Linked DNA regions of Caenorhabditis elegans. The protein of the gene in region 1 interacts with the protein of each later gene in a pairwise test. Each region holds a gene or a part of one and is shown in the gene's direction. Other genes may lie near its edges.

Region 1 (3,755 bases):
GCTGAAATTGAATAAATTTTCATTTTTAAAAAATTTTACCGAAAAATTTGCGAAAAAACAATAAAAACCAACAAAAAATCGCAAAATTGGGTTACGGTCGGTTTAAAGGCGCATAACTCGAATAATTTTAGGAAAATTGTGAATTTTCGGGATTTTTTTACTTTTTACCGTTAAAAGTCAAGAAAAAACAATAAAAATCGGCGATTTTTTGCAAAAAGAAAAGAGTTACTGTAGGTTTAAAGGCGCATAACTCGAAAAATTTGAGAAAAAGCGATTTTTTTTTGTTTTTTTTTCTTCGCATTTTCTTATTAATTTTTAATATTATTACTATTCCAACCTTATTATACATTTGCACAAAAATTATTCCAAAACCTCTAAAATTGGTAAAAACGGCAAAAAAAAGGTATAAGCAAGAGGCGAAAAAGGCGGGAAGAATGAAGGATTAGCCGAGGCCTTTGGGCAGGAGACACCCCCCAACGAGATAGCACACAAACATAAGAGACCGCAGACGGCCCAATCAATTCGGGCCCGAGACAGCCTCCCCGCCTCACGCGGCCTTCCTAGAGACAATGGGGAAGCCGGAGGGTGTTAGACGGGTAGACGGGCTGAGTGTGTGGGGGGGGGGGGGTACATAGTTGTTGTCTTCATGGCCTCGAGAGGAGTGTCACACATCTGCCTCGATAGCTCAGTTGGGAGAGCGCACGACTGAAGATCGTGAGGTCACCAGTTCGATCCTGGTTCGGGGCAATTCTTTTTTGTTTTTTTTTAAAATTAAAATTCAACTATACGCCTTTAAACATACCGTATTCCTGTATTCCTTTAATATTTGGCAAAAGTCGTTTTTCTCAAATTCTACTGGAAAAGCCAATCAAGCGGGCTGAAATAAACATTTTGCAACATTTTTTGCCAGCTATGCGCCTTCAAACCTACCGTAACCTTTTATTTTTGCAAAAAAATCAATTTTTCTTGTTTTGGCTCATTTTTACAGTTTTGTTCTGGATTTTTCACATGAAAAACGATAAATATCAGTGCAAAAAGCATGTTTCTACATTTTAGCCCAAAAAATTGTGCAATGCGCCTTTAAAGCTACCGTAACCTTTCAGTATTTACGAAAAATTGTTTTTTCCTTGTTTTGTGCTTAATTTTCCGGTGTTTCCCTTATATTTCACATGAAAACGTTGAAATGTTTTTCTCAACAACTTTCTCAACTTTTTGCCCAAAAATTTGTGTGATGCGCCTTTAAATCTACTGTAACCTTTTAAATTTTCGAAAAATCGATTTTTTTTCTGTTTTTGGGTTAATTTTTCTGTTTTTTCTTGATTTTTCACTGAAAATTGACAAAAAATTGAAGAAACATACAGAAAAACTAAATTTTTTGCTTTTTAACGCAAAAATTTGTGTGATGCGCCTTTAAACCTACCGTAACCTTTTAATTTAAAAAAAAAATCAATTTTTCTCAGTTTTTGGAGCAAATTTTTTGGTTTTTCCCAGATTTTTCACATGAAAAACTCTAAACCGTAGGGCAAAATCATGTTTCTCCATTTTTAGCCCAAAAAATTGTGCAATGCGCCTTTAAACCTACCGTAACCATTAAATTTTTCGGAAAATCGTTTTTTCTCTGCTGTTGGCTCAATTTTTTGGTTTTCTTTCGTTTTTTCGCAAAAAATGAACAAAAATTTCTAAAAATTGGTTGAAAATGCCAGAAAAACCTGATTTCTCAATTTTTGGCTATATGCGCCTTTAAAGCTTCCGTAACCCAATTTTAAATCGATTTTTTCGCTGAAACATTCGAAATTTCTGTTCAATATTGCCATTTTAGGCTTCTAAACAATAAATTTGTCAAAATGTGAGAGAGCTGGCTCCCCGAGAGACGCAGAGAAACGGAGACGGTCACCATGGTGACAGCTGCCTCAGTTGCACGGCCATTTTGGGATTTTTGAGCCAAAATTTTAGAATTTTGATGTATACTGTAGTTTGTAGTTTGTAGTTTGTAGTTTTTGTAGTTATGATAATATAACATGCTCAATATTTTGATTTTGGAAAAAAGTCCCGAAAAGTTTTGGAAATTTTTTTTTGCACAAAAAATTTCGTGTTTTTTTCGAAATTTTTTTTTTGAAAATTGTTTATTTTTTAACGTCAAATTATGTTTTTTAACAGGAAATGCTCCCAAAAAACGAAAAAGAAGCATTAGTCGATGTTGATGATAGGATTGCAATGTTGGAGAGGCGGCTGGACAACGCGAAGGCCGCGAGGGTAAGGACTAAAACTCTTATATCTTGAAAACCAATAGTGCTATCAAAAAGTTGCTAACTAACATAATGATCAGTATCAAATTTCCTATATTTTGTTAGTTGACAATATAATTGTATGACTAACCCGAAAAAAATTGCAATAGGAAACGTCTACGGTGTCAAAACCGTCAGGTGGCTTCTAAAGGCTGTAACTCTTTAGAGGCTAGAGCAATTTTTGCCGACTATTAAAATGATCTACACAAAATTTGCAATATATCAATAGTTAACAGCTTTTCAATATCTTTCCTAGAATCTGAGTTATGACACTTTTTAGTTTCTCTCTCTCAAATTCCAGCGCAGTACCTCAAATTTTGAGGCACAAAAAACCAGCTGTATCTCAAAAACTAGTAAAGCTACTCAAAAGTTTTCAACTAAGAAAATGTTAAGCATAAAATTTACTACAGTTTCCTAGTTAATAATTTTTTTGTATGACTAACCAGAAAAAAGTTACAAGAGAGTATCTCCACAGGGGTAAAAGCGTCGTGTGTCTTTTAGCGTTCATAACTTTTTTGCCATCATAGTTATAAAAATTTTGTCAATTGACAAAATGATCTACGCAAAATTTGCTATATGATAGTACTTTCAAATTTTCAAAAATCTTCCCTAGTTTTTGAGATACACAAGTTTTTGGAAAAATCATGCTTCTCCTTAAAAGAGTCTTTATTTTAGGATGCTTTTGTGCACCATCTACGTGGAAAATACCCGACATGGAAGCCCCCATTGCCCACAATGAGCTATCAAGAGGTTTTTATTTAAAATTTTGAAAAAAAAATTTTAATAAAAAAAAAATTGTTTTTTTCAAAATTTTTTTTTTCAGGCAGATTTTCCAAAACTCCCACACTATGCTTCAAATCACCACCGTGAGCCGTTGCTTTCCCGCTTATCAACTAGTGATTATCAATGGGATATAACTAATAATCGGAACAATCGCAGTCGGAGCATGACCCGGCTCAGCTCGAAATTTCAGCCAATGGATATTCCGACGAGGTTTTTAATATGATTTTTGGCTTAAACTGACCTAGAAAAAGATATTGACCACGGTGGGGGTTGAACCTGTGGCCTATTGACTGATAGGCAAACGTGTACCCACCTGAGCTAAAAACTCCATAGGGTTGAAAAAATCACAATTTTCAATTTTTTTTTCCAAAAAAAAAAAAAAAACTTTAAACCTTTATAACTTTGCAATGGTAACTGCTATCAAAAAGCTATAAACTAAAAAAATATAGCAAATTTTCTGCTCTACAATTTACCAGTGACCAGTTTTTACCTATCACTTCCAGTTCCCAAGTTACACCCAATTTTCCAGCGGTCCTCTCCTGGAAAGCGACATCCGTCGCTCGAAAATCCGTCTCCGTGAGATTTCCGAAGAGCTCCGAGCTATGAGAATTGATCGTATGAGCTTGAGCACAGATCAATGGCTCCAGGAACAACCGTTTCGGCAGCATAAATGTAAGTTTTTGAGGA
Region 2 (3,755 bases), on another chromosome or scaffold:
TTCCATTCCACTCAAAAACACAAAAATGTCTTCGTTTTTGCGTCCGCGTTTTATCGGTTAAAAACGATAAGGAAACTTGAGCTCTACTAGGAATTGGAGTACGCTGTTTTATCAGTTCCAACCAAGCCTGCCACACATCTGTAAACAAATGTTAGAGAATATGCGAAATGAAGAACACGATAAATGAAGTTTGAATGAAAGTACAAAGACTAGTCGTGAGGACTGAGCAAGATGTATGGAGTTGTAGAGAATACCAAAAGCAAAATTCTTTAAACATCCTGTTTTTTGGTATTCATACTTTGGCTAATTTTATAAAGTAATTGACCACAAAAATGAGAAAGAAGCATAAACGGAAGAATTGTATTAAAAAAACAAAACACTGTATTTCCAAAAATTTCAAAATTCCAATTCATGCTGATTAGCAGCTCGCGGACTTTAATATTTGAAAAAGAAGAGGTGTGGTTGATTTTTAGTTTTTTAAAGGTTAAATAATTAAAGCGATGTTTCGAATTATTTTGGAATTCCAATCATAGTTTCAATTCGATGCTTTTTCAATTTCGAAAATGCACAATTTTTAAGAACTTTTTAGCAAGGGTTTTATGACTCACAAAACTCTTTAATCAGAATAAAATGTTAACCAGAACACTTGAAAAGTTACGCTCCGCCGGTAGGTAGGTCTTCCTACCTACCTAGTTATATTCGTCTGCAATTTGGCACAAAATCTAGAGGTACAAGACAGCGCGTAGGTAACCTTCGAGTTTTTTGTGCCTACAAGGGAATTCGTTCACTGTTGCAAGATTCACCTATTTTGTTGTTATCAAATTATTGCGATGAACTTTTAAGGAATTACTGTAGCTGTTTTTTTGTGAAAAATAACACAGATGGTCTTTTTAAGATAAGACACCTCAAGTTCAGTAGACAACAAGAGTAAACAAAGTTTTTTCAGGAAATACTTGTAGCTTTTGAATTACAGTTTAAGAGAGAATTGAATTGATGAAGAGATTTTGATTGAACCTTCACATCTTCAAAATTCTAGAATTTTTAAAATTAAACATTTTTGAATATGACAATACAAGCGAAAATATTCTGTCAATTAAATCCAGATAAATTTGTAAATCCTTAAAAATTAAATTGAAAGGAATCTAGAAGACAAAATGTTTCAGTTCTGAAATATTCCATTGTTGCCGATTATGTTCTGTTGTAACCTTATTAACATTTCATTCGTCATAGTTTCTAGTAAAAAGTTTCAGACTTTGCGGTTCTTAACACCTTTTTTCAAATGTCAACTTCCTCATCATTCCCAGTCAAATGTCATTTTGTTTCATAAATACAAAGAATGTAAGAAAGAGTAGTTTCTTTTTTTCTTCTTTTCACCCCCTCCCCTCCGTTTTCCATCTCTAAACTCGGACTGATAAGTCACCATAAAAGAGAGTGGAATCGAGCATTGCCAACTGATAACCCTCTTTCTTTGCTCTCTCAAAATGCCATTGTAAAATCAAACCTACTACTCCGCGTTTTGTACGGTTTGGTGTTAAGACTCTTTATTTTTTTGAAGATTGAACGTTTATTATTGGTGTTGGTTTTTTAACTGCTGAAAGTGTGAAAATAACATTGTTTTCTTATTCTATTTATTTTTATCTTCTTTTGTTATTAACATCTTTTGTTTTATTTTCAAAATTTTAGCGACTTCATCATGTCGGCGGTTAGTTATTCGATGCACAGAACCACCACAACTACATCCTCCTCATCACACGGAGGTAAGCACTTTTCTTCAAATTTCCAACAGTCACACGACCTCGAGAGTTTTCTCCGAGGAATCCATAATATGGTGACACTAGTTTGTCTGAAATTGATCTCCTCCATTGTCTCAATCTTTTTCTTTGTTTCAAATCTCTTTGTCGGCTTTATTGACACCGTTGTGAACTCCTTTCACACATTGCCGACTAATCCTAGCAGTTTCTCTAGATTATGGGCTTAAGTTAAAATAACTGATGTTTAAATAAAACCATAAGTTTCGACAAATTAAACTCGATCTTAACTTTTAATTCACGATATCAATAAAGAATTGAGACGAGAACTGCAGCGTAGGGACAAACTGCAAAATGGCCTGTTCCTAGATGGTAGCATATAATACTTTTCAGTGAAAAATCAGATTGTTTATGACAAGATAGATCACTCTTATAAGTAGGAATTTTCTGATTGCTAGCCCAAATTGTGAAAAAAAAAGAATAAATATGCCACATTTAACCAATTTACTCTGCTCCTGCTTTGCATTACTTTGACAAATCATATCTCGATTGTTATTATTTCATCAAATAATTTTCAACACTAAAATCACTCTACATTGTTATAATTAAACAATTTTGATGAAGCCTACAACAATTAATATGAGCTGTCAAAATGAAGCAGTGGGAGTGCAAGACTAATAGGAAAAACGGTATATAACACGGAAAATTGTATATCTTAAATCTCAAAGTACAACATTAGCTGTAACTAACTCTATTTTTTAAAATTTCTATTTTAATATTGTGAAAAAATTTGGAAAACAGAGGTTTATTCAGACTTTTGTTTTACATATTCGTACTAAATTAATTTTTAAAAAATGAGTTTGTATTGCTTTTTCCAAACCCTTCACAATAAGACACTTTCACAAAATTTAGTTTATAACAATAAAAAATATGGTCCTTCTTGGAGCACTGCTTAAACATCGGAACACAGTTTACATAATATTTCAGGTGTCTCAGCCGGCCATGCCGCTGAGGAGTTCGTTGCCTCTGCCGAGCGCGAGAAGCAAGAGATGCAGCAGTTGAACTCTCGCCTTGAAGTTTACATCAGCCGTGTCCGTCAACTTGAGGATCGTAACAAGGAGCTTGTGATTGAATTGGACACCCTCCGAGGATCACTTGGAAATGACATCGGACAGATCAAGGTTTGTGCCCCGAAATTACAGGAGAATCTGAAACACTTTTAGTTGTTGACACAATTTCTCTCTTATCAGATAATATCAATTCTTCTCAAACAAAGCGCCCGTTGCCAAATGTGCAGGCGTAAGGAATTTAAAAGAGAAACTGAAAATGGCACTGATAAGATGACAAGTAGTGCTCTGGAGGAAATGGGTGTGTATGTGTGTGTTAAGATTGCCAATAAAATTAATTGAAATTGATCTTGAGGGGTTAATAATGTTGCATCAGAATAATAAACTCAACGTTTTGTAGTTCAAATTCAACGATTCGTTGGTCAAAGTTCGCCGTGAGATCTCAGAAGCTCATTCTGGAACTATTGGAGTTGAAGTTAAGGTCGACAGATTGAGAGATGATTTGAATGACTACAGACACAGGTAACAATTTATTTGCATATTCCATTCTAATGGCAAATATTTCAGATATGAAGAGGCCCGTCGTGAAGTTGAGCGTGAGAAGACCACTTGGGGAGGAGCTATTTCACAAGCACAAGCTGAGCTTGACACAAACAAGTCCCGCTATGCCGCCATTTTGGACGAGGAAAAGAGACTTTATGCTGAACAAGATCAACTCTATCTTCAATTGGCTGCCGCCAAGGATGAGCTTGACGCCGCAATTGTTGATCGCCGCCGCCTTCAAGCTGAGGAAGATGACCTCAAGATTGAGCTGGAATTCTTGGGAAGAATCCACTCTCAAGAAATCACTGAGCTTCGCACTCTTCTTGCTCAAGCTCCAGCCGACACAAGAGAGTTCTTCAAGAATGAATTGGCTCTTGCTATCAGGTTGGATTCAAAA
Region 3 (3,755 bases), on another chromosome or scaffold:
AAAGGACAAACTTTTGGAATATCTAAATTAACAATTGCGTCACTGCTCATTTCAATGTTTTCTCTTGTTTTCAGCTTATCGAAAGCATTCAAATCCGTTGGTCCCATGATGATTTTTGGATTTGAAGCAGCTGGGTAAATTCCGATTCCGAGAATAACACAAATCGACTCCGCAATTGCCCAGGCACTGAAATTTGTTAATACTATTACAAAAAGTAGTGAAATAACTAACCTGTATACTCTTGTTTTAAACACAACAAAAATTAGAGCAGCGTAGACGAGTCGAGTAAAGAATGAGACCTCCCAGATTGCATCCGATCGAAGTATCTGAATGGGCAAGTTTAAAAATGAAAAGCATTGTTGGGAAACGCACATCAAGTGGGAAATAGTGGTTCGTGATCACAAAAACTGGAACCGACCAGAGGAGACGAACAAATCTAGACTTCACTTCCAGTGTGGGATCCCATGATTTTAGAATTGGGTTTTGAGAATCAATAAGCATTTGATATGTGTAGTATGGTCCTGAAAACAATTAATAATAATTGCATATTGTTCCCAAATGTCTATTTAGAAATTTACTATGCAGAGTTTATTTGAGCAGCTGCTGAAATACACATTTCTGGTCAACTCAAACTAACCCGTGAAAAGTCCGCAAAAATGATAAAAGTAGGCAAACTTCTCCAAAATAGTAGGAAGCTCTGTTAAGTATCTTTTCGTCGGATTCTCATCGCTTTTGTGAACCCACGCGTCATTTTCTTCAAAGGTGATGCCAATTATCTGAAATAGTTTCAAAAAATAAATATTCCAGTAAAACACTTATTTTGGAAAATAATTTCAATCGTTGTAAGACCCATCGAGGAATGAGTCACTATTTAAACTCACTACCTAGTATAGAAATTTAGTGCAGTTGTTTCACAAACAATATATATGCTTTTTCTTTACTGTTTTTGAAGAAGGAAATATTTTCAACTATTACGAAAACAAACTCTCCGTAATGAACACGTCTTTTCTGAAACAAAAAACTTACTCTTAAAGTAATAATCAGTTGAATGACATTGGTGTGGCTGGCGACTTCGTTGACAGGCAAAATGTAATGCGCAAATCGAACAAACATCAGATAAGTGAATGTTGTGAGGAAAACGTAGAGTGGTGTGCTCCTGCAAGTTTAAATTAGTTTCTACTCGTTTTTTCTTGTAATATTACTTTTTGTTAGCCAACAGTTGAATCGAAATCGCAATCGAACAAATTCCCAGTGAATATACAATTTTTGGACCTGCAACATGCCATTTTGGTTTTTATTGTCATTTTCAATTACCAATAATAAAAAGAGACATAGCAAATCCGAGTGCTCCAGATGCCAATATATTATTTCCAATTTTCCGTACATAACAAGATGCTCCAAAAGAGAAAAGCAACAATCCGGTGTATATCCAATCATCTTTGGACATCAAGCCAAGGATATTTTCCATGATATTACCTGAAACAAAAAACGAATACTTTACAAGAATAAACCGTACTGGCGAACAAAAAATTAATGGCATAAACTGTGTACGTCGATAAATGTGCCAGCTGCGTGGGGAAACGCGTCAACACGCAGCTGACGTGTTTGCGGACGCATTACTACGAACACTTGGAGTGCGCACTGCGTGATGAGATCCGAAACGGCCTTGTTTGCAACTTTTGTCCCCCGCAGAATGATACAATCACTTTTTCTAGTCTTTAGTCGTTTCTTATGTTATTAGTGTGTGATTTTAACAGTTGCCGTCATTTTTCATATATCTTTTCATTCAATTTTCTCATATTTTGCAGGTAGTAATAGTGGTTGAAAAATGTACACAGCAGAGGCGCTTGACCGTAAGTTTTATAGTATTTTTCACAACAAAAAATGGATATTTTTCAGTCATAACATCACTTGAGCAAAAGGAATGCGATGACTGCGGCAAAAAAGAAGTCGAATGGGCGTCGGTAAAAAAGGGAACCGTGATTTGCTCCGAATGTTTCTGTTTTCATAGTTATCTTGGTAAGTTTAAAAAAACTTTAAATTTCTATTAAAACTTCTGAATACTATTCAATAACACCGACTATAAAATCTATAAATTTACACAAATTCTCCGTTGTTTTCCCAAGACCCCGGTTGTATGAAAATCGATAAATAGTACACTCACAGGCCCGTCAGTGAGCTATCTCCGTCATCTGCGCAAGAGTGCTTGGGATGAGGAGCATATTCGTCTTGTTCACGCTCTTAACACGTATGTTTTAGAATAGTTTAAACATAATAATGGAATTATCTATTATTTTTTTCAGATCTAACACCAACATGATATGGGAAAGTGCTTTATATGAGGGATCAACAAAGTTTCAGAAACCAATGGCCCAGTGAGTTTTTGCTATTGAATTAAACTGTAAAACAATTTTGTAAAACAATTTTGTAGAGACCCATCTCATATCAAAGAACAATTTGTGAAGGAAAAATACGAGAAGCTGACATTCCAACCGAAAAGAGGAAAGGATGAAGATTTGGAGAATAGTTTGAATCGACAACTCATTGCATGTGCTCGCAGTGATTTTGCTCATGTCACTTTAAGGTGCTTGTGACTTCAAAAACATTATAGGGACGAAGTTCATAGCAACAACACAAACTTTTAAATTTCAGACTCATCGCTCTCGGAGCTGATGTAAACTATCCTGATCCAGAAACTGGGGACACTGCACTTCATGTTGCAGCCCGAGAAGGCAATTCAAATCAAGTAGAACTTCTTTTCCTGTATGGAGCTGACATTATGGCACCAAATAGAGAAGGAATGCTTCCATACATTCTTGCTAGAGATGCGGGGCATGTAAGTTTTCTTACTCTCAATATGCTTGTTCAGTTAAGCATTTCAGGGCCAACTTTCACATCGCATTTATGAATTCTTCTTCTACGTTTTTGATCGCTTCTCATTTTTCATGTGCAATCGAAAAGCAGATCATAAGAACAACCAGGACTTTTTCATTCCTGAAGTCACTGAAAAACAATTCCTGACAAAAACTAATGATTCGAGAGCAGCGATCTCAGTTCTCCCGAAAGGTCAATTCTTTGACCTATGTGAAGATGCGTTTGATGAAACAGTTCGCAGAGAAAATGAAGTCAACTGGAACATGACAAAATGGGCAAAAACTGCCAAAGGGCCAACAAACCTTTTCTTGCCGGTATAGTTTTATGAAACCCATTCAAGCTATAAATATTTTTATAGCCAACTCCTCAAATGTCAGCTGCTCGCAACCAAAGAAGACAGAAACTTGCCAAATTCACTCCAATTCAGTTCACAATTCTCCTGATAGACTTAATCAAAGACCAAAAGCGCAGAATCACTGGAGACAATCCAGCACCAGTATCCGAACCACCCAAGAATATGCGAAAGTCAAACGACACTCCACTTAGAATTATGAAGTTAGTGGATCTTAGACGTGTGTAATTTAATTTGATCTTACAGAAAAAGCGAATACGCCGATTATGATGAAGTAGCTGGAATATCATGCAGTCCAATTTCGGGAATTGTTCCCAACTCTCAGGCTAATACGTTAGATGAATCGAGCAGCAGAGTGTGGGACGAACTATTGGAAATGAAAGAAAGACTTTCAAGTACCGAAACTATGGTTGTAACACTTACAAAGCAAAATGAGGAGCTGACAAAGTGAGTTGATATCACAAAAAAACTTTCTTTATGCTATGTTTCCTTGCAGGCTAGTTCATAGCTTACAAGCCCAAAACATCAA

Evidence for each region.
Region 2: the proteins of dyf-17 (region 1) and ifb-2 interact in a two-hybrid assay, tested with the Caenorhabditis elegans proteins (one large-scale study listed by BioGRID).
Region 3: the proteins of dyf-17 (region 1) and git-1 interact in a two-hybrid assay, tested with the Caenorhabditis elegans proteins (one large-scale study listed by BioGRID).

The regions. Positions count from the first base shown.
Region 1 is NC_003283.11:19,125,370-19,129,124, forward strand, and holds the start of dyf-17 (Verprolin), read left to right. Parts: upstream 1-2,155; 5' UTR 2,156-2,160; coding exon 2,161-2,253; intron 2,254-2,960; coding exon 2,961-3,035; intron 3,036-3,108; coding exon 3,109-3,278; intron 3,279-3,597; coding exon 3,598-3,740; intron 3,741-3,755.
Region 2 is NC_003280.10:5,748,507-5,752,261, forward strand, and holds the start of ifb-2 (Intermediate filament protein ifb-2), read left to right. Parts: upstream 1-1,693; coding exon 1,694-1,757; intron 1,758-2,735; coding exon 2,736-2,929; intron 2,930-3,215; coding exon 3,216-3,337; intron 3,338-3,382; coding exon 3,383-3,742; intron 3,743-3,755. UniProt on the Caenorhabditis elegans protein: Cytoplasmic intermediate filaments provide mechanical strength to cells. Not essential protein.
Region 3 is NC_003284.9:10,523,090-10,526,844, forward strand, and holds the start of git-1 (Arf-GAP domain-containing protein), read left to right. Parts: upstream 1-1,808; 5' UTR 1,809-1,828; coding exon 1,829-1,853; intron 1,854-1,899; coding exon 1,900-2,019; intron 2,020-2,166; coding exon 2,167-2,248; intron 2,249-2,303; coding exon 2,304-2,375; intron 2,376-2,431; coding exon 2,432-2,584; intron 2,585-2,652; coding exon 2,653-2,836; intron 2,837-2,882; coding exon 2,883-3,188; intron 3,189-3,232; coding exon 3,233-3,429; intron 3,430-3,472; coding exon 3,473-3,673; intron 3,674-3,722; coding exon 3,723-3,755. Other genes in the region: Membrane-bound acylglycerophosphatidylinositol O-acyltransferase mboa-7, read right to left, coding at 12-186, 232-326, 373-521, 638-776, 1,027-1,156, 1,203-1,272, 1,315-1,468.